Kluyveromyces lactis: one gene and its partners. The protein of the gene in region 1 purifies or fractionates together with the protein of each later gene. This does not show direct contact. Links are inferred from orthologs where the notes say so. Each region holds a gene or a part of one and is shown in the gene's direction. Other genes may lie near its edges. The genes, in order: SPT15, SPT7, TAF4, TAF7, TAF12, TAF3 and KLLA0_D06831g.

Region 1 (2,696 bases):
TTCTGTGAGCTTATCAGTAATGTTAATGTCCTTGAAGATTAAAACTAAGAGCTCCAAGAGTATTTTCCATATTTTAAGTTTGACATGAGCTGTGTCCATTTCACTAAAATAAACCCACATATCAGCTGGTATGCTGATCCCTTCATCGAGACAGTAATTAATAAACGAACACATCACAACGAAATGGAATTGTTCATGGTTTTTGATCACGAACAGAATATCTCTATAATCAGCCAACTTCCTTTCATTGCCTGGAATCAACTGCAATCTAAAATATTGAAACAGCACTTTCCAAAGAGACGTATCGAGCTTTGATATAAGCTTGGATAGATTTCGTAGTGCAATCTTATTATGACTTGGATCATTTTTATACAGCGGGATCTTACAAAGAAGAACGTAATCCACATACATCTTCTCATTGACCCATGTTGTACTTTGCAACCTCTCTCTGAGTGCTGAAAAATATTGCTCTGCGAGATCAATGCGATGAGTCTCTTCAATCAATAACGTAACAAGATCGTTAGTGATCTGAAAATCTTGCTCTAATGAAAGCTGGAAACCGCCATCCTTCAAATATCGCAGACATCGTATAGCCTGATTTATCAATGTATAATACTGACGAAGTTCCAATTCAGTTTCAATTTCCGTAACAACATCATGTGCAGTCAAAGTGTACTGTTTCGAGAGATGATATATCAAATCTAACTGCTGTGCTTTTCTGCTCAAGGACTTTTGATCAAAAGAGATCGGAACGTTTAGCAGCTCATCTTTGAAGGTGTCCATAGCTAGTATTGTGTATCATACATCAATCGGAAGCTATTTTCAGCATGGGCATATGCTGTTCTTGAGACACGTTAATTGACGTGTATTATTCTAGGGCAAAATGGTTATATGAAACTTTGAAATATATAAGGGAACCAGGATCCACGACAAAAAGAAGACAATAAGTAAACCACCGATGTACTCAGATCGACATGGTATAACTTCATCAAATAACAGGTTTGGAAATGACATGATTGAACTGTTTACAAGTCAAAGAAGTCTACTCTGGTGATTCATCATCATACTAATGAAAATTGATCATGTGACCTAGCTTCATCAGATTTCTTTCCCGCTTACAACTTTTTAACATAGGAAACCAAATATAAATCGTAGAACAAGTAGGAAAAACCAGTCAACACACAAAGATTGCAGTTTTAAGTCGTGTATTTCTGAGGCAGCCCTTTAAGTTATATCAATACTTGTATACTATCTGCTACTCCTACACGATCTATTTTTTTTGAAGACAGTTTTCTTCTTTGGTTTTCAAGACTTTCAATTGTTTGGTGAAATACTTCAAGAAGCCATCTTTCAGCGTTCGTTTATTATCAACTGTTCCGAGTATATCGTATCAAGTTAAACTCTACTACCGCAGCTTAGCTTAGAAGAAGATGTCAGAAGAAAATAGAATGAAACAGTTCCAAGAGGAAAACAAGATAGTATTTGATCCAAGTACACGATCAGTATGGGAAACTCAAGAAAAACAAGAACATGAATCTTTACCTGGAACAGATGCTAATGCGGAAGACGCAGATAAAGGTTCTGCCACTTCGGGAATCATACCAACCCTACAGAATATTGTGGCCACTGTGAATTTGGACTGTAGGTTGGATCTAAAGACGGTAGCATTACACGCTCGTAATGCAGAATACAATCCAAAGCGTTTTGCGGCTGTGATTATGCGTATCAGAGAACCGAAGACTACTGCATTGATTTTCGCATCTGGTAAGATGGTTGTTACTGGTGCTAAGAGTGAGGATGATTCCAAGTTGGCTAGTAGAAAATATGCCAGAATTATTCAAAAGATTGGGTTCAGTGCCAAGTTTACTGATTTCAAGATCCAAAATATTGTCGGCTCATGTGACGTGAAGTTCCCAATCCGTTTAGAAGGTTTAGCATTCAGTCACGGTACTTTCTCTTCATACGAACCAGAGTTATTCCCTGGTCTTATCTATAGAATGGTGAAACCTAAGATTGTGTTACTAATTTTCGTTTCCGGCAAGATTGTCTTAACTGGTGCCAAACAAAGAGAAGAAATCTATCAAGCGTTTGAAGCTATCTACCCTGTGTTGAGTGAATTCAGGAAGCTATGATGTTTTATTGGATGGTACTATAAAAATTCATTTTTTTATTTTATTAAACAATGCACTAATTCGATTCTCGGAGGTTTTGTCTCGTCTTCTGCAAGAAAACCCTTTGTTCCTTCTATCTTTCCTTCCTTATTGTCTTTTCATATCCATTCTGCTATAATAGAAGTCTTTATTATTGGCACCTTACTCTATGTATCATATAGTTCATACACAAATTTAACGACTAATAGCCATCGGTAAATGGTTTCCAGCTTGAGTTTGAAATGGATGAGGAATTCTGTCTTAGATAATGTTACAAAGTTAATTACATTTCAACAATATATTGAAGTTTAATGCTAGTATTTTTGGATCGTTAAGGGCAACATAAAACGATTAGCGGTATCCTTTATTTTCCAACTTGTTCTCCAACTGTTGTCTCAACAGGCGTTCTTGTTCTAGTTCTTTTTCGTATCTTAACTGAGTATCAGCTAAGATTCGTTTAAATTCTTGCTTCATCATTGAGAAAGATTGATGGTTAGAAGCAGATGTTGAGGATTTGATGTCACTGGATTCGGAAATTGCTTGTGA
Region 2 (3,994 bases), about 220 kb from region 1:
TTCCTATCAATCCATTTCCCAACAGATTACCCCTTCAAACCACCAAAGATCTCTTTCACCACTAAGATCTACCACCCAAATATCAACGCTAATGGTAACATCTGTCTAGATATCCTAAAAGATCAATGGTCTCCAGCTTTAACTATCTCTAAGGTCTTGTTGTCCATTTGTTCTCTTCTAACAGACGCTAACCCTGATGATCCTTTGGTCCCTGAAATCGCTCATTTGTATAAGACCGATAGAGCTAAGTACGAGGCTACTGCTAGAGAATGGACTAAGAAGTATGCTATTTGAAAGAAATATAACAAAAAAAAAAGAAGAATGAACCGAAGAAAAGAATACTACAAAAGGACAGGGTTCGGCGGAAAGTAATATCATCTTAATCCGACTAAAAAAATACTCAAACCTTCCACCATTGTATATCCTACCCCTTTTTGTTATCGGTACTTTCAACTCACATCGTTTTGGACTTCTTCTGACACAATTCTCAACTTCAAGCTTTCAAGGTTTAAAGTATTAGAAAGAATAGTATATATATTAACGCACCAATTTTCTTTATATTATATTGTGTATGTGCTCATGGTACATGTAGGTATATATACCGTATAATTTTGATATATTTCATTTCCATTAGACGACTGTTTCCGACAGGTAAGCTAGAACCATTGGTTATAATTATACAAGATTTTTCAAGACTTTTCAAGACTGGTTTTTGTCCACAGACATTGGTTTCTGAATGTGCCAATTTGGTCACAATTATAGAAATGGAGAGACATACGCCTGATCATTCTAGCTAGTGAAAATCAATTTATCAATGCTTACCTAGGTACTAAAAACCTACCACAACTAGTCCTATATATATAGATACAACTGGGTAGAGCTGTTGGATACTCAACTCTTGTATGTTAAGGCTAAGCGCCGCTGAAACGAATAAGCCGTATGACTGTCCCAATATCACTTTATACGTTTTGATGTTTTTTGACATTTCGTGAATTTTGGAAAACACAGACAATCGGTGCAACTGATGGACAAACAAGATTCGGACCATACACTCAAAAGTCGTGCCGTTTACAGCTTGTATCAGTAAAACGAGAGGCAAGCGAGCTGGTAGTGAAGGAATTGATTCAGAATTTTCCTTCAAAACTACTCTTTATTTACTCTAGTGGTTCTTTCTGCGGAAAAAGTTGACTGTCCATGATTACAAGTTACCAGCGGTCCGATGCCGCCGCAATACTTCGAACCATCCAGAAGTTATTCGCAGATGATGTATTTAAAAAGCACCTCAATCCGAGTCAGTTACTTTTATTGAAGTACTTGTTGAGTCTACCAGACCAAGAATCAAAGACACTTATATGGGATGCGTTTCTCTCCGGCAAGTTGGAACTATTTGTAGAACTGAATACAACTCTTAATGCAACTTCCGACAAAGGTGCCACTAATGATTTGGTAGCGGCTACCAGATTACCATCATTATCAACACAACAACAACCTCAAGCTAGTTCTGGACTCTCGAGAACTGGCACTCCTTTACATGATTCGACTGATAACCAAAGTGTTGACGATGACGACAGTGATATGATCGATTTGGAACAATTGAAGGCCCAGCTAGATGGACTGGATTTTATAGGAAATTTATCTATGAAAGTCAGGTACGTTGTATGGGAACATGGACTCACTCTCCTTGAGCCAGAAACATCCTCAGAATACCTTCTACTTGACACGGATAATGATAGCGCTGTAATAGAGGATGGAAGTAATAATACTCTTATAGATCAAAGTGCGGTTCCCAACTCTTCCACGCTTCCTACAAATGACACAGCACCCTTGACTATGAAAGAAGTGAGCAAGAATAGCGAAAACAAAGAAGGCTCTGATGAAGATGATAACTATGATGAAGATGATGATGACGACGACGAGGATAATTACGATGATGCTGAAGAAGATCCTCAAAAGATAGAAAAAAATGATACAGAAAATGGAAAAATCTCTCATCCTAATGATCTTGATGAGAAACCCAAAGTGTCAGATGAAACTGAATCGCCAATTTACGAGCAACTTGATAACGGACTCATAAGACTGCATTTCATCATCTCAAAGGAAACTTTGAACGAACTTCCATCTGTAAATACCTACGATATCATCGGTAACTTTCACAAAATATATCATCTCTTTGACAATGATAAAGAGACCACTATGAGGCGTTTAAAACTTCAGGAAAATGATCAAATGCTAGAAAGCTCAAGGAAAAGGTCTCACGAACAGATTGAAGACGAAGAAGAGGATGACTCAGGGAACCCTAGCATATCTCATCATAAGTCTGCGGCAGATAAGAAGATCAATACTAAGACTAAAGCAGATATCCAAATGGACCTCGGTGTCGTAAATCTGTCATTAAGGCATTTGCTCAAATCGGTACAGGAAAATAAAAGTAAGCTAGATATTTCAGATTACGAACTTAAACATTTATTAATGGATGTTAGAATGAACAGATCTAAATGGGCTTCTGAAGATAAAATTGGACAAGAAGAATTATACGATGCATGCGAGAAGGTGGTACTGGAACTCAGAAATTTCACAGAGCATTCTACTGCATTTCTTAACAAAGTCAGCAAGAGAGAAGCTCCAAACTATTACCAAATAATTAAAAAACCAATGGATTTGAACACTGTGCTGAAGAAGCTCAAAACTTTTCAGTATAAATCTAAACATGAGTTTGTTGATGATATTATGTTAATATGGAGAAACTGCCTCACGTATAACTCGGATCCTAAGCATTTCTTGAGAGCCCATGCAATTGCGATGCAGAAGAAATCTCAACAACTAGTACCACTAATACCAGATATAACAATCCGTGATAGAGCGCAAGTTGAAAAAGAACTAGAAGATATAGACGCCGAGAGCAACATTAAAGACGATGAAGAGGATGCTGGTTCAGGTCGTAAGGGTATTCAGAGACGTGGTGTTCAAAAGGTTATTGACGATGAAGAAGAAGAAATGGAAGAGAACCATCCTGGAGGTAAAAAAACACGAGCAACTGATGCTGAACGGAATCAACAACAATCCACCAATAAAACAGTAAGCAGTGACAAAACACCTTCCACTAACGAAGCTGAACAAACGCCAGAAGTTGGCATAGTTTCTGCAGAGGGGAGAGGCTCCAAAGTGGCTCAATCTTCGACTAATAACGAATCTACTGAACCAGCAGTTGAAAGTAAAGCAGTGTCAACTGTTGAAAAAAACCAAGAACATGAGGATGCAGAAGAAGAGGAAGAGGAAGAGGATGAAGATGAAGAAGATAATGCCGCTGGAATGATGCTTCTTGAACGAGATGACGATAAGGACGATCTGGAATTGTCCACATGGAAAACACTTACAGCCAAAGCCCGTGCTGAAATTTGTTTGAAAAGATCACAATTGTTCAACGAACACAAAATTAATTCCGAATCTGATGCCCTCTTGAAAAATCCTTCTAAATTAAAGAATTTTGATCAGTTCTTCGAGGAGTATAAGCAACAGAAAGAAGCAGAATTTGCAAGACAAAAATTACAAGAACAGTCAATGATGAAAAACGGTTTTGGGGCAATAATGAACCAAGCAGATAGCAGTGTATCGAATTTTTCTGACACGAACGTTAAATCACAAGATGCCGAAAGTTCCTTGACTAAAGAATCGAATGAAATCACTCTCGAAGATTCTTCGTTATTGACAGAGTACAACATCACTAATTATATCCCGGACTTGGCATATACAGGTATTGGGAAAGAACAATTAGATAAAGCTGAGGAAGCTATGGTTCAAAAAATTATGAAGGAAGGAAAAGTAATGAAGAGCTCTTTGTTGAATACTGTCGATAAGGGGTTGAGTCCAAAAATGAACACGAATATCCAGTTGATACATGAGATTAGGCATATATGTCATAAAATTTCTTTGATTAGAGCACTACAAAATCCAAATAAACCCAAAAATTCACAACAACCGCTAAGGTTCAAAGAAT
Region 3 (3,016 bases), on another chromosome or scaffold:
GATGCACCAATATCTTCTGGAACATCCCCAGCGTCACCGATAGCTTCAGAAAAGATTCTCCATCCTTGTTTGTTCTCTGCTACGAGCGTTAGACCCCAACCTGGACTTTTACCTGAGTTTTCACCTCTCCATACATCTGCAGTTATATTTACTTCACAACTAGCAGATTTAAGAACTTTTTTCGCACCATCAATCATTCTATTTACAAGGGAGGGACTGACTCTTGTGGAGTATGAAACACCTCTTATACTTGAAATCATTGTTTTATCCAAGGCGTGCATTGTAATCGGTTGTGCAATCAATGAATCCACAACAAGGTGTACTTCACCACCACCTAAAGGAGGTGAACCTCTCTTCAAAGTATGTAATGCACATTCCCTGACGCCAAATTTTTCCATAATCGGCATCAACCCCCATTTTATCGCATCTATTCCAGCATCATTATGTGAAGATGTTATACCACGGAATAGGATTGAGAATTTCTTCTTTGAGAAGGGGGCTAAATACAACATTGGCTCGGCAAAATAGCCCACAGGTTTACTGTTCGGACATTGATGTGTGTATGAACCACCAGTAATTATTCCTGGTCTGAAGATGACGGTGGTACCAGTGTATGAAATTTCTATTGAACTACCATTCGTTACCGCTTCCATCAATCTTAGAAAAGAGACTTCGTAATCTTTTAAACCCGGATTTAGGTCATCAGAACGTATCTTTTCTATCTTTATAGCTTTTCCTGACAATGTAGCCATTACTACTCGTAAACGAAAGTTCCGTGAACCTTCAAAGGTTACGTATCTGGAAGAGGATGACATGTCCAATTTGTCTGTTTGTCTGTCCTACTTCGTGAGGAATAAATTTCCTGATAAATCTCTTTAGAGTTTTTAATACAGAAAGTGACCTTCTATCGGACGCTAATGGAATGGTTGATGGAAGTTAACTGAAACCTTTCGATATTGGTTTTGTGTTGTATGTTCAGTTAGGCGATGAGATGAGATGAGATACGCTTTTGACAAATTTTTTGCAAGGAAAAGAAATGAGCTTCGTTACCCGGATTATGTGATCTTTCAATCTTGAAAAAATCAAAGCCAGCAAACAATAGCATCTAAATGAAGAAAGAGGTAGGAACTAGATAGAACTTTTTAGCATAATGTTTAATACTCGCACGTTTTTTTATCTTTGTTGAAATCATTAAGGTTGTACGTTTTTCGCTGAAACTGGATTTTAATTGATAGGCCGCATTTGGACCTGTTTTTAAAGATTGACTTATTCTTTTCATAGTTTATTTGCCTGCATTTTTGGGACAAGTGCAATAGGTGTCCTCAAGTATCCAATACGATTCTTTTTACCCCCGTGTTTCACCAGAGAAAACTATCACTATTGGTCTAATTAGTATAAAATACGATGGCAAAATCGCCCAAGAGAAAGAATTCTGAACCGGAAGATTTATCTTCAAATAAACGTTCCAAATCATTCGAATTTGGCAAAGTAGAGAACGGGCTGGAACCCAGTGGCTCAGATTTTGGCAGTGATCTGCCTACGCCATTCGATACTATGGTTACAGAACAGCCATTAGCTCTACCTAAAGCATCATCTCCAACTACAAACCTAGCATCTCCGCGAAACTCAAGTACGCCAAATTTGAAGACGACGAGTACGACAAGCAAACAATCACAGAAAGCAGAACAGAAGAAGAATGCCGGGGGTTCAACAGGTAGTACGACTGCCTCAACTACAAAACCACAGCAAAGTGATCCAGACAAGCTTAGTGATGCTTTGTTATCGGCCGGTGTTGATATAAGAGAGGAAGAGGCATTGCTAAGTAGCACAGTTGCTAGAACAAAAGCAACCGGTATTTCAGCAAATAACCAGGTCCCATCTCATCCTCCATTCCTACATCCTAAGAACATTTCAGATTTCATGAAAAGAATTGCATCAGAACAAAACTTTCATCAAGATTTCAATAAAAACACTGATATACTCGGATTAATGTCTACTGCATGTGAACTTTACATGAGGGACGTGATAACGAACTCTTTAATCCTATCCATACATAGACGGAAAGGTGTTAAACTAAACACGGGAAGGAGGAGTGAAGTGAGTCGTTCTTTGAGGGATTTAGCATTAAGACAAAAGACTCAAGAAGAAAGAAGAGTACAGAGAAGAATAGCACTCGGTTTAGAAAAACAAACAACGGATGCTAGGTTAGATACTGAAGAGACTCAATATCGTGCATCAAATGCAACTGCCAATTTGATGATTGCAGGGGGTAACAAAAAAAAATATAGTTGGTTGACCGCTGGATCCAAGTCCAGCTCGACAGACCTAAAAAATCAGGGAAATGTTTCATCTGCTGTTGCAGCAAGGGGTGAAATGGGTATCAAATATAGAGAAGCAAGAGAAGAACCTGGCATCGTTATGAGGGACCTTCTTTTAGCTTTAGAAAATAGGCGAGTAGGAGTTAATAATGTTATCACTAAAGGATATGCTAGAATCAGAGACTAGCATTTCCAGTTACTTTGAGGAATAATATGAGTTTCCGAGATGTTCTGTAGTATGCATACTTATATAATATAAACCTTTCGATAAATAACATAGAGACTCATACTTGCATGCGAGATTACTTTTCCTTTTCTACCTGACATGTCGCATATTTAATATTTAAAGATAGTTTTCATTTTTTAGTATCTAAATACTCAAAATCACGTCAGAGACAAATAAAGTTTAAAAAAAATAGAGTTTATTAAACCATTACTTCACACGACGCTTTAATAAGTACACTAATGATCGACGCAATTCGGTACCATTTATCGTTTGTATCTATTATATTACTTTTTAACGAATCATATCAAGATACTTTTATATACTCCAGTCTTGTCAATGATTTGGTCATTGGTCAAAGGAGATCATCTAGAGAAATTGGAAACGAAGGAGGTACAATGACGAATTCATAAGAACGAATCTGCATGAACATCTGAAAACTCAATGCATATATATTTTTTTGGTTTTAGTTTGA
Region 4 (4,125 bases), on another chromosome or scaffold:
ATTTCATCAATTTCCAAATACGTCAACTCGTAAGGTTTTTTCTTCAATAAGACTGGATCCAAACGAGAAATGAACCAATCACGAGCCCCATGCCCCAAAATTTCAATCATCTCTTCTACTGGTTTGGATTTAAGGATCATTAACTTTTGCGTTACGAAATCCCAATGGTCCAAATCTATGCTGTGATCCCTAGGGTTGATTTCAACAAGTGAAAGATCGTCTGGACTTTTATTATCTGAGGGAATTATCACGGGATCAAACTTCTCTATGCAATCTGGAAGGAACTTTTTTACTGAGTTTTCAGAAGTCGCAACGAGCTTTGTATTAGTAGCTAATTCGGATAGAAGAGTAAGCCTGTTTCTGTCTTTGTTTGAAAATGGTGCGAATAATTTCCTTGCAGTTTGCTGAGGTATCCAAACTAACATCTTGACCAGACCAAATCTTTGCATCCAATTCTGGTTCGCTATACACTGCAAATATTGCACGTATAGCTGTTCACCCTTTTTATTGGTCAAATTGGCAGCGATCAAGAATTCATTGTGAATATGATCTCTTTTCTGCATGCTAGGAGTAAGGACTCTGTCTTCATTTGTCATTTCTAAAAATGTCTCCCATTTATATGGATTTTTATTGTAATTAACCATCGATGGGTGATCCTTCAAAGTTGCTTGATACAACTCCACAAATTTCAATCGATCCTCTAACAGGACATGCTTCTTTGGTTTCAGTCTTTCATTAAGTATGACTGATTGAATCAAAGGCCCGGCGTATATATCCAGTATTTGTAAGCTTTCAGACTTGTAGTATGATTCTAAATTCAACTTGTCTAATATTTGGTTTATTACCTTGGGGTTTTTCTCAAATTGACTTCCATAACTGGTATGAATCTTATTTGCTAGTGGTAGAACCGACTTCAGAAACGAACTCTTGGTCATGATTAGGAAAAATTCTGTAGTGTATTTGACAATAGAGAACGGATATTGTATATTGGAGCACAGAACTCATATAGAAGGTGCCAGTTCCATCCAATGAGTGCAGATCTGCTGTGACTTGTTTACAACTTTCATCTGGACAAAATGAAGCGATGAGTTGAAATATGAGCTTTTCCATTTTTCAATTCGGAATTTTATAGTGATGATGACGCTGGTGTTATAAAGACACCTAGGATAGTTGCGAACTATAAGCTATGATCATCAGAAGTTTCAAACTATTTTAAGTAGTTACTCCCTGATAGTATACAGTAGTACTTTAACATGACTTGCAATGCATTAAGCCAAATTCAGCGTTAGTCTGGACGTTTCCACGTGATCAAAACTCGCTTCAAATTACATAATGGAGGAAATCGTGAAATTGGAAATAATGTTCGACGGAAAATGTTTAGCTATCTAGATGTACAGTGAAAGTAAAATGAATGGTTGACCCAATTGGTGTGACACATACGACAAGGGGTCTCTCAAAAGACAGTAAACATTCAGTTTTAGTACAGTATCCCACAATGGGTCCGATAATCAGAATTAACAAACCCAAGGAGCCTGAATCAGGCGGTGGAACGGAACCTAAACTAAAAAAGATCAAGTTAAAGACTGGAGGAAGCAGTTCCAGCAGCAATAATTCCAAGCCTGCACCAAAGCTTAAAATCAAACTGAAAAAGCGTGATAATCAAGAGGATAAAGATATCAGCAATAATAATAATGTGGGCACTTCGAAGGGAAGCTCGCGGCCCATGAAGTTAAAAATCAATCTAAAAAAACGGGAAGATTCACATCCACAATTAGTGCCGCACTCCCAATCGCATCAGCAGCAGCAGCAGCGCAAAAGTACGAGTGTTGTCAAGACTCCTAAGTTCAGAATCAAACCTGTACGAGTTCCCGGTGAAGGGTACGATTCTGAGGCCAGTGATGTAGAGGATGATCCGCTAATCGAGGAAGGTATAATTCTAAGAGTATTACCAGATTTGAGTGCAGAATTCGTTAAAAACTCTATAGAGAGTGGTGATTACTCTGATGTCAGTATCAAATGGAAGGGTGAGAGACACGCGGTTGTGAAAGTGAATGGGGTGCAATATGGTGCTGTATTAGTCAACTTGCCAAGTATAATCGAAGTTAACAAGAGTGTTGACAGAAAGAACTTATTGAAGACGTTTGACGTTAGTCAGATGTTAATATGTGTTCGTACAGTGAATAAGGAAGAAGAAGTGTTTTCTTTGCAAGTAAGCGATACGGAAGATCTTACTAAGAAACATTTTGAAGAGTATCAGAAGGAAATTACCGAGCAACGGAAACAGCAACTCAGAGGGTACAATGGCGGCCCATTGACTGATGCTGAAAGTAAAAACATCGAACAAATCATAAACAAGCGTTACGATTATAAGCATGGTATCACCCCTCCTTTGTATAATGCTCGCAACCGTCGCTTCAGACATAGGATGGGACCAACTGCCTTTGATTATGTGGAACGTACTGTTGAAAAATTATTGAAATTAGATGCTGAAGCTGAAGAGTTCGGGTACGAGCTAGTTAATGAGGATGCAATTCAACAGCAAAGGTCTACAAGTGCAGCAGATCTTGCACATTATCAAAAGGCTGGTGAGCATATGGATGAAACATCTTCTGTTGGCTACAGCCAAGAGATCAAACCACATCATGTTACAGGTGCCGCGGAAGAAGATGAGGAAGAGGATCATGAAGAAGATCTTGAATTGGAATTGGAACAAGCTCTACAAACAGAAACTACTGATGGTTCTATACCGGCAAGCATGGTTAATGGACCGGCTGGAGCAGCGATGTCTACAGATACTGGCAGTGTTGTAAGACCAGGACAACTTCTTGAGGAGACCGGTGATGACGTTGAACAAGATAACGGTGATGATGAAGACGAAGAGGAGGAGGACGAAGAGGAAGAAGAGGAGGAAGAAGAGGATGAAGAAGAGGAGGATGAAGAGAACGGTGCTGATGGATTATCCGGATCAGTTACAACAGGAACAACTAAGTCACGTGTCTCAGACAACGATGGTGCTAACGAAGAAGAGCAACACAGAGAATTATTACTTGATGAATTGAGGGAACTAGAAAGTACGTTAGAATTAAACCGGAATAAAGCCAGTAGGACTACGAATCCGTTGTTAAAGACAAGATTCTTAGAAAGTATCAAGAAGCTTGAGAAAGAAGTTGAATTGAAACGAAAACAGTTAGGAGAACCAGTTGTTGTAGACGATGCAGGAAATGTACAGACAGCTCAAGACATCTCAGAAAACGTACCCGATACTGAAGCCGGTGCAGTATCGAACAAGGCCGCAATCAGAAATGGCAGCGTTAGTAGCGGTGGTAGTGGCGTAACCGGATCGGCATCAATTCCAAACAATGCTACGATTACCAATGGAGTGGAAAACATTGGTACCGAAGGGAATCTTTATGAGGAGGAGGATGAACTAGAAGAAGAGGAAGAAGAGGAGGAGGAGGAAGAGGAGGGAGAAGAAGAGGAAGAAGAAGAGGAAGAGGAACAGGAAGAGCAACGGCCGGACGAAGAACCGCAACAAGGACAAGAAGCAAGACAAGGTACTGAAGAACTTGATCAAGATGACATGGATATGATGCTTCTTTTCGGAGCGGATAACGATTAGGTTTGAACTGAGAGAAAAGAAACCACTAAAAGAAAAACAAAAACAGAAAAAAAATCAATACCCGAAGAGACAATAAGAGATACGTGATGATTTAGCATGTTATCTGAGTTTGGAATAGCATTACAGCTTCCCATGCTCTACAAGGGTGAACGATATGACTGAATGCCTGAACGAATGCGTGAATGAGTTGTGTAATCTGAATGTATAACTGAATTTATCTAGAAGCATTTTTTTTTTTTTTAAATTCTTTAAAGGGAAGTAGAAACAAGAATCAAGACAGGCAAGGAAGTAATGGATGGAGATCAATGGGAAACACGGGGCAACAACAAGAGGAAAATTACGAATGCGAACCTCTTCTCGTTTGCCGAAGCCTCTTGACGACGGCACACAAAGGGAAAGAGGCAGCAGGTGTTAAGAGGCACCTCACTTCGCCGTTTCTTTTTACTGCCTACAGAGCGGCTGAAAGAAAAAGGCCCTGCCATGTACATCTCAAAAAGGTGAATTGC
Region 5 (3,384 bases), on another chromosome or scaffold:
AATATACAGACAAGTTCATTTTAAGTGAAATTACATGTTTTACTTCATATTCGTTTCGAGTTTTAGGGTAAAGAAGAAAGCAATCTACTCGCGACAAAACGCCAGAGCAAGCGATCATTTACTCGTGGATAACAACCCTTCAGAAATTTCATCGTATTGTGTTTTTATAATGGTATGTTTTTTACTATGCCTCTACCCTCTGGTCAGGTGAATGACACCTTTACTAACAAATGCTAATCAAATAATCATTTGGAAAAATAGGAGAAAGAGTTCATGAACCTCACAGGATGCACGTACTCTGTTGCACAGGAATACCTTCGAAAGAATGGAGGGCGTGTCGAGTACGCTTTGAACGATTATTATGATAATGTGGATACCATTGGAGGTATGCGTCAATCTTACAATCCCAGTTTAGTGGCTATCTTTGAGAAGTACTCGAATGGCGTTTCGGCAACAGAATGGGACTCTTCTGGGCTAATACGGTTTATTGAAGACCTCGGTATATCGATAGAGGACCCAATCACGCTATGTCTTTCTCAAATGCTATGCATCGACGATTTAACAAAACCAGTATCTCGAGAACAATTCCTAAATGCCTGGTCAGATTTATGTTGCGACACTTTAAGAAAGATGAAAGCCTATTTACATACGCTAGAAGAGAGACTGGAGACGGACAAAGATTATTTCAAATCAATCTATTCCTACACTTTCCCATTGAATACAGACGAGGGATCTCGTCATTTACCTAAAGATGTCGCAATAGAATACTGGAATATTTTCTTTAAAGACAATAAATATGCGTTGAAAATCTCCAAGGAGAGACTTAATTCATGGCTTGAATTCATCAATTCTGACGACTCGGATCCAAGGAAACAGAACATCTCAAACGATATATGGTTGATGTTCTATAAGTTCATTGAACAATACCCCAATGACGAAAGTTTAAAACAAAACTATGATGAAATGGCTGCTTGGCCGCTACTTATAGACGAATATTACGAATTCTTGGAAGAAAATGACAAGCTGTGATGCAGCGCAAACACCTATATCGCTTATGAACATATTCATAGATACATATATTCATATATACGCATTGTGTATGTTGTCAGGGTAACACTTGTCTTCCTATTCCTTTCAGCATCAAAATTCAAAAATATTTCAAAGATCAACAAGTGAATAACAATCGAAAGTAGTTGCCGCGAGGTTAAAGCAAGGGCAAAACGGGGGCAAAGAAGGCCAGCACGAGGGTATTTCGACACTTAAAGTGGGCTTGCGGTGTGCATTTCGGATTACGAACCAAGATACGGACAATGTCAGGCCAAGCAGGTAATGTACAGCTGCAGAACCTCACGCCAGCTTCTATGCAGCAATTGGCGGATAGACTAAAATCGTTAGTTAACGAAGCTAAGCGAATTGGTGTAGATACCAAGGAAGGGAAAGAGCTATTGAGACAAGCGGCCCGTATTAAGGCTTTGTACGAGGCTTACAGTAAACAGAGGCAGCAGCAGGCCCAAGCGCAGGCTGGAGCACAGGGAGCTGTAAATAATAATGCCACGAATGTTAAATCCATGGATCAGCAGCAACAGCAGCAGCAACAGCAGCAGCAACAACAAGCTACCGCCAGTTCCAATAATGTGACGAATAACATAAAGGTCTTATTAACTCCTCAACAGCGTGAAGCTTACAATAGATTGGTTCAAAAGTATGAGGATGACGGTCAGAATATCAAGGGAGAATTCAACTTTTTGAAGAGAAATATTAGTGTTTTGGACCAAGAGATCAGGAATAGACGAGGTAACAGTCTATCGGTGCAGCAATTAGAGGTTAACAGGAATGAATTATTAATGAAAATCAGGGCATTGAGTGCCCAGTATTCGACATTACAACAGAAATATCAAGAGGACAGAAGAAAGTTTTACATTGAGTGTTCTCAAACTAATGCTGACTTAAGAAGATATCTACAAGCACAGCAACAAAAAGCTAATGCTGCTAAGTCACAGGGTACAGTAGCTGCAAATGCAGGTACACCGGGACCTCAGGCTGGTGTTTCTACTCCAGGAACCAACACCGGTACACCAATTCCAACAAGTTTGAATAAAGCTTCGAGTGGTAGTCCTCCAAATGCTATGGCGCAAAGACAAAATATACCAATTCAAAAGACCGCTGCAACTACTGCAACTGCAACAAACGCAAACCCGAGCTCAGCAGCTGCCGCACCAAATAACACAGCTTCTGACAAATCGTCCCCAATGCAGGTGACAACGGTGAATGCAGCTGCAAATCAAACAGCACAAAGCAATACAAGACCACCAATCTTCAAGCAACCAAACCCATCGATACCAATAAGTGAAAATGTCACCGCATCCCCAACAGTTTCAGTGTCATACAGAAGCAACAGACCTACGATAACAGGCGGTAGTGGTATGAACGCGCCAGCGCTAACTACACCTGTTATGACCAAACTACCGCCATATGAGGTCGATACTGAGCGTGTGATGTCTAAAAGAAAGCTCCGTGAACTCGTCAAAACGGTGGGTATAGACGAAGGTGATGGTGAAACCACCATTGATGGTGATGTGGAAGAGCTATTACTCGATCTAGCAGACGATTTCATTACTAATGTTACGAATTTCGCCTGTAAATTGGCAAAACATAGAAAATCCGATTCACTCGACGTAAGAGACATCCAAATGCATCTGGAACGTAATTGGAATATCAGAATCCCAGGGTTTGCCAACGATGAAATCCGTAGCACCAAGAAATGGAATCCAACCCCTTCGTACAATCAAATGGTAAATGCAATCAATAACAATAAAACTGCACGTACACATCCCGAAAAGAAGTGAAATGGATAAATTACCACTGTTTAAACAAGTTCATTCATTCAAACAGACTTAATTTGATGCATATATTATACATCATATATCATATATCTATTAATGTAACAATTCCTCAAAATATTGAAAATGGAGAAGTGGATGAGTACCTACAACAATGCATAATCAAGTCCAGGGAAACTGATTCTTAATACTCTTTGTCCTATTCTGCCTGTCTCATATATGTATAAACCACCCTTTTCTTTTTCATGGCTTCAAGTTGTATTTTTCAAAATTTTCCAAAACGTTAAAAACTATGGAAGGTCATCTCATCTCATCGCATAATGCTGTTCAAGAACAAGTATAACAAAACTTATATACTATAACCCTGTGTAAGATATCAGTTATTGCTACTATTATCCGCAGTGTGGAGTTTAAATTGATACACAATGGTTAAATCGTATCAACGTTTTGAACAAAGTGGTCTTTTTGGGTTAATTTCTACTTCAAATCAGTCGATCTATCTTCCAGCTACGAACTCAACGTCTGGCAAGCTAATTACAGGTGC
Region 6 (3,026 bases), on another chromosome or scaffold:
CTTATCATTCAGAGATATGTTTGACCAATCGAATAGTTTTCACGCTGTCATATTAAAATCAACTAATTAGCATATAAAGTGAAAGTACTGTATTTCATATTTATATTTATCTTAGTTTCATCTTTATTAGAAGAGGCAAAGACATTCACACAGTATTTACATATCGATGGTAAACATATGTGTCTGATTATAAAAGAAATCTGGAAAATGAGGAGAAGCTTACAAGCCCTGCTGTAATCTTTCAGCCAATTTACTCTTGGCAAAGCCCCACGCGCTTAGCAAACCCTTTTCATTCAATTCTATATTCAATGGGATATCCTTTGAAGGCGGTTTCGTCACTCTAGAGGCAATTGTGGCTGGATCAGTTTCTAAGATAATACCATCATCAATCAATTCATCAATTGCTAGAACCACCATGTCATAATGTTCCTGAACACTCCTCTTGTCAATACCTGTATCCAATATCAATTCTAGGGAATCTTTGAACCCGTTGAATGCTTCTTGCAAAACAATTTCGTTTTCGTCGATTGCACCGATCAGATATATCGAAACATCGACATATTCTCTGTAAATAACTAATAGATCGTCTGATATCATAATGTCTGAATTCTGCCCATGAGTTTTAGCAAATAGGTTAGATTCGAACTCTTTTTGCTTCTTTAAGCTGGATGCAAGAGAATCTGCAGAAATTTCTTCGTGTGGTGGATGGAAGTATTTCGAGTAAAGTCTTCTTCCTTCTCCATCCAAAATCAACACAGCTTTAACTGTGTATAGAGATAAGTTAACCATGTTGTTTATGTTTTTCTTCTTGGTTACTTCCAGGGTATGCTATTCGTGTTATTCAGTACTGATGCAATGGTTTACTGTCTCAGGAGGGAAGTGCTGGTTTGGCGGTACGCGAAAATTCCAAATTTGCAGTTGACAAGATATAGGACAAATAGGAACTGCGCTCGAGAGAGGCAGAATTCAGCTCTCAACCATTGCCCATTCCTGTAATTAGAATCAGTAGCCTTCTTTGGATGTCTTGTAAAGCTGTCCATGTAAAAAGCTCCATGGCAATGAAAGCCTGTTGATATCATTGAATACGGATTTATGCTCCAGTAACGCCAAACAGCAAGTGTTTGATCGAATCTCTTATCACGTGATTTGTTTCCGGGTAATGGAAAACACAGAAGGAACTTGTAACTTTTACTGTCTGATAAGTAGGTTAGCCATGCAAATACTATACATTAACGAAAACTGTCTATTGTGGGGTTCGTTCGATGCAGAATGCAACCAGTACTGAGCTTCGAGGACACTGATTGATTTACTAAGCAGTATTTACTTTGATTTATTTATCATAAGTTAAATACCGGCCAATTGCAAAGACTTTGCAGTATTTTGTATATTCTACGCTCTAAGCATTGAGCAAGCAAAGTGTTATTGCTTTACTCAGCTCCTCACAATTATGACCACTGATGAAAGTTTTTACTTTTCGCTGCTGCGAATTTCAATGATACACCTTTTAAGGGCACATGGCTTCGATAGAGCCAAAATGGGGACAGTTAATCTTTTTACTGATTTATATGTGAGATATCTAGAACTGATGATTCAAGAAATACGGAAACTTACTCTGGATCGCCGTGATTTAGATGAAGAAGTGTCCCTTCAAGATATTACCCAAGGAATGCTCAATATCGGCGTATTTAAACCAATGAACCTACTGGATGTTTACGATGAAAACCCGTCCGTGGCAGGCGATGAAGGTATGCAACAGTTTAAAAGATGGTTACTTCAAGATCCCGCAACAACAGAAGCACGAGTTATCAGTACCCCAAGTCCAGACCTGTTGAAAGTTGGTGATAAAACTAGTAAACCATTGTCAATGATTCCGGAGTATATCAACCAGCTGAATACATCGGACAAAAAGCCTAACGATGGAGATGATGAGACAGAATTGGTGGAAGCAATGATAAACAACGGGGATATGGATGACTGGATACAATTCATGTTGACATCACAAAAATTAGAACTTGCGAAGAGGAAGTCGGGGAAACTTCCTCAAGATCTCATTTCGTTACCGTCAATTCCTGGATTAAAATACTCTAAACTAAGCCGAAGTCGACCTATCATTACCAATTCATGCATTCCAGTTGGAATCGAAATTAACGAAGATGAAGAAGGAAAAGAGGAAAGTACTGAAGACGCAGCAGAGCAAATAGTTCTGAAAAGACTCATCTCAAAGTTACCTATCGGTAACCCAAATAACAAGTTAGAAAACATAGTTGTTTCATATGAAGATGAGAATATTGACGATTTACTTGAACCCCTCCATACGGAGGAAGATCAGCAAGACTACACCGATATTGATAAAACGGATTATGATTTTGAGACCTCTGGAACGGGAGGCTTAACTTTAGGCAATGTAGTTACCACAGAGTTAGACGAAATGGAGGACATGCAAAATACATTTGAAAGAAGGGCATCTTTGGATTTTGGACACGCATACGATATATAAATATAATTTGTTTAACACAAAATTAGTTCATGTTTACGACAAAACAATCGCACTCTCACTCGATTGTTTTCAAATCAATCACATGTAACAATCTTTTGGTTCCGATTTTGTCTATTCTACTATACATCTATATACAACTATCAAATTGATAAATGGGCTAGGGCGTTGCAGTGCATATCAGGTAAAAGTGATTTATAATCTCCTCTTGTTTTTAAATCTACCATTGGATTTTTTACCAATTCTTCCCTTTTCAGCTGGTTTTGTTTTTGGTAGCTTGGTTTCCTGTTCATCATCACTGAAATCATCCTCATTGCCAGCTCTGGATCCTTTTTTGAATTTTAGTCTGTTCTTTTGACCCTTTACTGGACCTTGTTTGACAGCATCTAAGTATGCATTAACACCACTGGTAATAGCCTCTAACGGATCTTCATTGTTATTTTCTCCTCTTCTCCTATCGTTTTTCATAACCAACTTACCTTCTGCATCAAAGCTGAACACTTCATCATCGACAATCCTTCTTCTTTCATTT
Region 7 (2,671 bases), on another chromosome or scaffold:
TAATAAAATTGCATCTTGATGATAATTTCTATGAAAATTCAAGTAACCCAAAAGACACCGGCACCTATGAACAAATACAAAGAAACGTTACATTTAATAGACCTTCTATAATCTTGATCGTTTGGTTCAATCTTCAAGACAAGCATCCAAATCATTAGCGAATACAAAGATGTTAAGATGTGTTATCCCAAGCGTTCGCGCTACTGCAACGACCAGAACCTTTGTTAGATTTGCCAGTTCTCAAGGCTACATTGATGGGATCGCTGCATTAAAACAAGACTTGAAGAAGGCAATGCTTGCAAAAGACAACCTAAGAAAGACAACCATTAGAGGTGTACTATCTACAATTAAGAACAAGGAAATTGACAGTAAGGATAAGGATCTAGATGAATTTGTATTGTATGATGTGTACGCCAAGTTAATCTCGCAAAGGAAGGACTCCATCGCTGAATTTGTTAAAAATAAGAGAGAAGATTTGGTAGAGAAAGAAGCCAATGAGATAAAGATCCTCGAGAATTATCAGACTGCCTTGCCTGTTGCTTCTAGGGAGGAAGTAGACGCTCGTGTTGTGCAGATTTTAACAGATCTAAAAGAATCAGAGCCATCTATACAATTGAAGCAGGTCTTCGGAAAAATTGACTGGAAAACACTACCAGGCGAATTGAAGGCATCTCCAGCTGCTATCAGGTCCAGTATTAGCTCTCAATTTAAGAAAGTGTTCCAATAAATCACCTAGCTAAAACCAAACTTGTACAGAGTCATTCATTAAAAAAAAAACTCCGATGAATGACGCCCTTGTGATTAAGTAGGCACATCAATCCCGTAAATAAATGTACTTACAATTATGCAATATCAAGCCGCAGCAATGGATTTGACTCACGTGAACAATTCTCTATCTAAAGACTTCTGATAAAGCCATGTTGTTCGCTAGGATGCTTTGCCAGATCACGTGATAAAACATAGTAACCAATACTCTCTGGTAACTACTAAGTGGGGAGAATATGGACATGATAGTCTTTTGCTCTCTCCACAATAGCATAATCGTAACTCTTGCATGCATCTTCAACTGCCTTCCTCCACCTTATTGTAGTACTTCCTCTAAATTTCACCAAACATTGAAAACATGAATTGACTAAATTTCAAATTCAGAGATAAATAATGGCAATTACAAGTACGAAAATATCCAGAAGAGAAACATTAGACGTGCTTATAACCCCCAATCAAATCAACCAACGATGGTGTCGGTATGTAATGATTAAAAAAGACTGAAAAGCTTCTTCAGTTCGTTTTTAGAAGGTTTCTTTTCACAATGAGTTTACTAACAGACCTTTTATTCAATATTTCGGAAACAGACTGTGAAGAGAACGGTCAGAATTAAGACCAAGCAATCTGTCCTACCGGATGTACCACCTCCAGTAGAAAACTTTCCTATGCGTCAATGGACCATTGAATTAGTTCTTTTGGATGAACAAGGAAACGAAATTCCAGCCACGATATTTGATAAGGTAGTGTATCATTTGCATCCAACTTTTGCAAACCCTCATAGAACATTCACGGAACCTCCTTTTAGAATTGAAGAACAAGGCTGGGGTGGCTTTGAATTGTTGATAAGTGCGCATCTTCTTGAGAAAGGGGGCGAGAAGAAGATAACTCACGACCTACATTTCATGAAAGATGCCTATGAAATTGATCATGTAATCCAAGTTCCTACCAATAAGCCTCTTCTAAGAGCAGAACTAGAGAAAAGTGGACCTGTCGATGAAGTAGCATCAACAGCAGCAGCAACTCCAAATGCAACAGCGACAGCTGCCACCACTCCAGGTGACAAGAGAAAAGCATCTACTGTCAATGGTGATGTAAAAACGAAAAAAGCCAAGACCGCCTCCGCTTCAACAGTGAAAGGCTCTGTGAACTTGGAAAAGTTAGCATTTGGCTTAACAAAACTAAACGAGGATACATTGGTTGGAGTAGTACAAATGATAACTGATAACAAAACTCCAGAAATGAATATTACGAACAATATCGAAGAAGGTGAGTTCGTTATTGATTTATATAGCTTGCCTGAAAGTCTATTGAAGAGTTTATGGGAATACGTCAAGAAAAACACCGAGTAACCGGACCTCTCACATGTTTATCTAATTTAACCATTACAATTATGTAGTTGTATTTTATAACTTACATCTCCACTAACAGGCACTGCTTGCAGAAAAAGTACCAAATGAACACTATAATGAATAGACAAATCAAGCCTAGGGAAAATTGCACTGAAATATTTGATTGAATTCGCCCTTGGACTTGACTTTAATTATTGTCGACCTCCTACCGATGAGCTTATCTCTGAAAAAAATAATAGTTTGAATCAAATTCTACATGATAGCATATCACAATACTCCATTATGTTTTACTATTGTTGTAGCACAACGGTCCGCAAGCCGTCGATAGAAAACTGTATTGGCATCAAGTCAACACTTAACATAATGGAAAAAGATTTTGTAATGGTATGTTTTAATCTAATATTGCCATAACGTTTGTCACTAGCAGCATTGTCACTAACAAGTGGTTGTTTACAAACATATCAGCCTTACGTTCCTCGAACAATAAGAGTCAAAACTCAACAAATTATTTTACCAGATGCTCCTAAAGTCTACGAACTGCCGACAAGGAAATGGAG

Evidence for each region.
Region 2: the proteins of SPT15 (region 1) and SPT7 purify together in Saccharomyces cerevisiae (affinity purification with western blotting; 3 studies listed by BioGRID, with this or other methods). This does not show direct contact. The link is inferred for Kluyveromyces lactis from reciprocal best matches to the Saccharomyces cerevisiae genes SPT15 and SPT7.
Region 3: the proteins of SPT15 (region 1) and TAF4 purify together in Saccharomyces cerevisiae (affinity purification with western blotting; 7 studies listed by BioGRID, with this or other methods). This does not show direct contact. The link is inferred for Kluyveromyces lactis from reciprocal best matches to the Saccharomyces cerevisiae genes SPT15 and TAF4.
Region 4: the proteins of SPT15 (region 1) and TAF7 purify together in Saccharomyces cerevisiae (affinity purification with mass spectrometry; 5 studies listed by BioGRID, with this or other methods). This does not show direct contact. The link is inferred for Kluyveromyces lactis from reciprocal best matches to the Saccharomyces cerevisiae genes SPT15 and TAF7.
Region 5: the proteins of SPT15 (region 1) and TAF12 purify together in Saccharomyces cerevisiae (affinity purification with mass spectrometry; 11 studies listed by BioGRID, with this or other methods). This does not show direct contact. The link is inferred for Kluyveromyces lactis from reciprocal best matches to the Saccharomyces cerevisiae genes SPT15 and TAF12.
Region 6: the proteins of SPT15 (region 1) and TAF3 purify together in Saccharomyces cerevisiae (affinity purification with mass spectrometry; 3 studies listed by BioGRID, with this or other methods). This does not show direct contact. The link is inferred for Kluyveromyces lactis from reciprocal best matches to the Saccharomyces cerevisiae genes SPT15 and TAF3.
Region 7: the proteins of SPT15 (region 1) and KLLA0_D06831g purify together in Saccharomyces cerevisiae (affinity purification with western blotting; 7 studies listed by BioGRID, with this or other methods). This does not show direct contact. The link is inferred for Kluyveromyces lactis from reciprocal best matches to the Saccharomyces cerevisiae genes SPT15 and TAF14.

What each region holds. Positions count from the first base shown.
Region 1 is NC_006041.1:892,707-895,402, reverse strand, and holds SPT15 (TATA-binding protein), read left to right. Parts: upstream 1-1,430; coding exon 1,431-2,132; downstream 2,133-2,696. Other genes in the region: cohesin-loading factor complex subunit SCC4, read right to left, coding at 1-783; PEA2 (Pea2p), read right to left, coding at 2,502-2,696. UniProt on the Saccharomyces cerevisiae protein: General transcription factor that functions at the core of the DNA-binding general transcription factor complex TFIID. Binding of TFIID to a promoter (with or without TATA element) is the initial step in preinitiation complex (PIC) formation.
Region 2 is NC_006041.1:1,117,448-1,121,441, forward strand, and holds the start of SPT7 (SAGA histone acetyltransferase complex subunit SPT7), read left to right. Parts: upstream 1-1,194; coding exon 1,195-3,994. Other genes in the region: KLLA0_E12563g (uncharacterized protein), read left to right, coding at 1-294. UniProt on the Saccharomyces cerevisiae protein: Component of the transcription coactivator SAGA complex. SAGA acts as a general cofactor required for essentially all RNA polymerase II transcription. At the promoters, SAGA is required for transcription pre-initiation complex (PIC) recruitment.
Region 3 is NC_006039.1:526,705-529,720, reverse strand, and holds TAF4 (Taf4p), read left to right. Parts: upstream 1-1,404; coding exon 1,405-2,505; downstream 2,506-3,016. Other genes in the region: RCL1 (rRNA-processing endoribonuclease), read right to left, coding at 1-815. UniProt on the Saccharomyces cerevisiae protein: Functions as a component of the DNA-binding general transcription factor complex TFIID. Binding of TFIID to a promoter (with or without TATA element) is the initial step in pre-initiation complex (PIC) formation.
Region 4 is NC_006038.1:736,556-740,680, forward strand, and holds TAF7 (TATA-binding protein-associated factor TAF7), read left to right. Parts: upstream 1-1,411; coding exon 1,412-3,619; downstream 3,620-4,125. Other genes in the region: MTF1 (RNA polymerase specificity factor), read right to left, coding at 1-935.
Region 5 is NC_006040.1:1,375,619-1,379,002, forward strand, and holds TAF12 (Taf12p), read left to right. Parts: upstream 1-1,310; coding exon 1,311-2,846; downstream 2,847-3,384. Other genes in the region: NEDD8 ligase DCN1, read left to right, coding at 35-172, 262-1,029; snoRNA-binding rRNA-processing protein DIP2, read left to right, coding at 3,266-3,384. UniProt on the Saccharomyces cerevisiae protein: Functions as a component of both the DNA-binding general transcription initiation factor complex TFIID and the transcription coactivator SAGA complex.
Region 6 is NC_006042.1:2,524,096-2,527,121, reverse strand, and holds TAF3 (Taf3p), read left to right. Parts: upstream 1-1,447; coding exon 1,448-2,497; downstream 2,498-3,026. Other genes in the region: RET3 (coatomer subunit zeta), read right to left, coding at 220-789; mRNA-binding protein RRP12, read right to left, coding at 2,690-3,026. UniProt on the Saccharomyces cerevisiae protein: Functions as a component of the DNA-binding general transcription factor complex TFIID. Binding of TFIID to a promoter (with or without TATA element) is the initial step in pre-initiation complex (PIC) formation.
Region 7 is NC_006040.1:588,277-590,947, reverse strand, and holds KLLA0_D06831g (uncharacterized protein), read left to right. Parts: upstream 1-1,235; coding exon 1,236-1,244; intron 1,245-1,352; coding exon 1,353-2,114; downstream 2,115-2,671. Other genes in the region: AIM41 (Aim41p), read left to right, coding at 170-727. UniProt on the Saccharomyces cerevisiae protein: Functions as a component of the DNA-binding general transcription factor complex TFIID, the RNA polymerase II associated general transcription factor complex TFIIF, and the chromatin-remodeling complex SWI/SNF.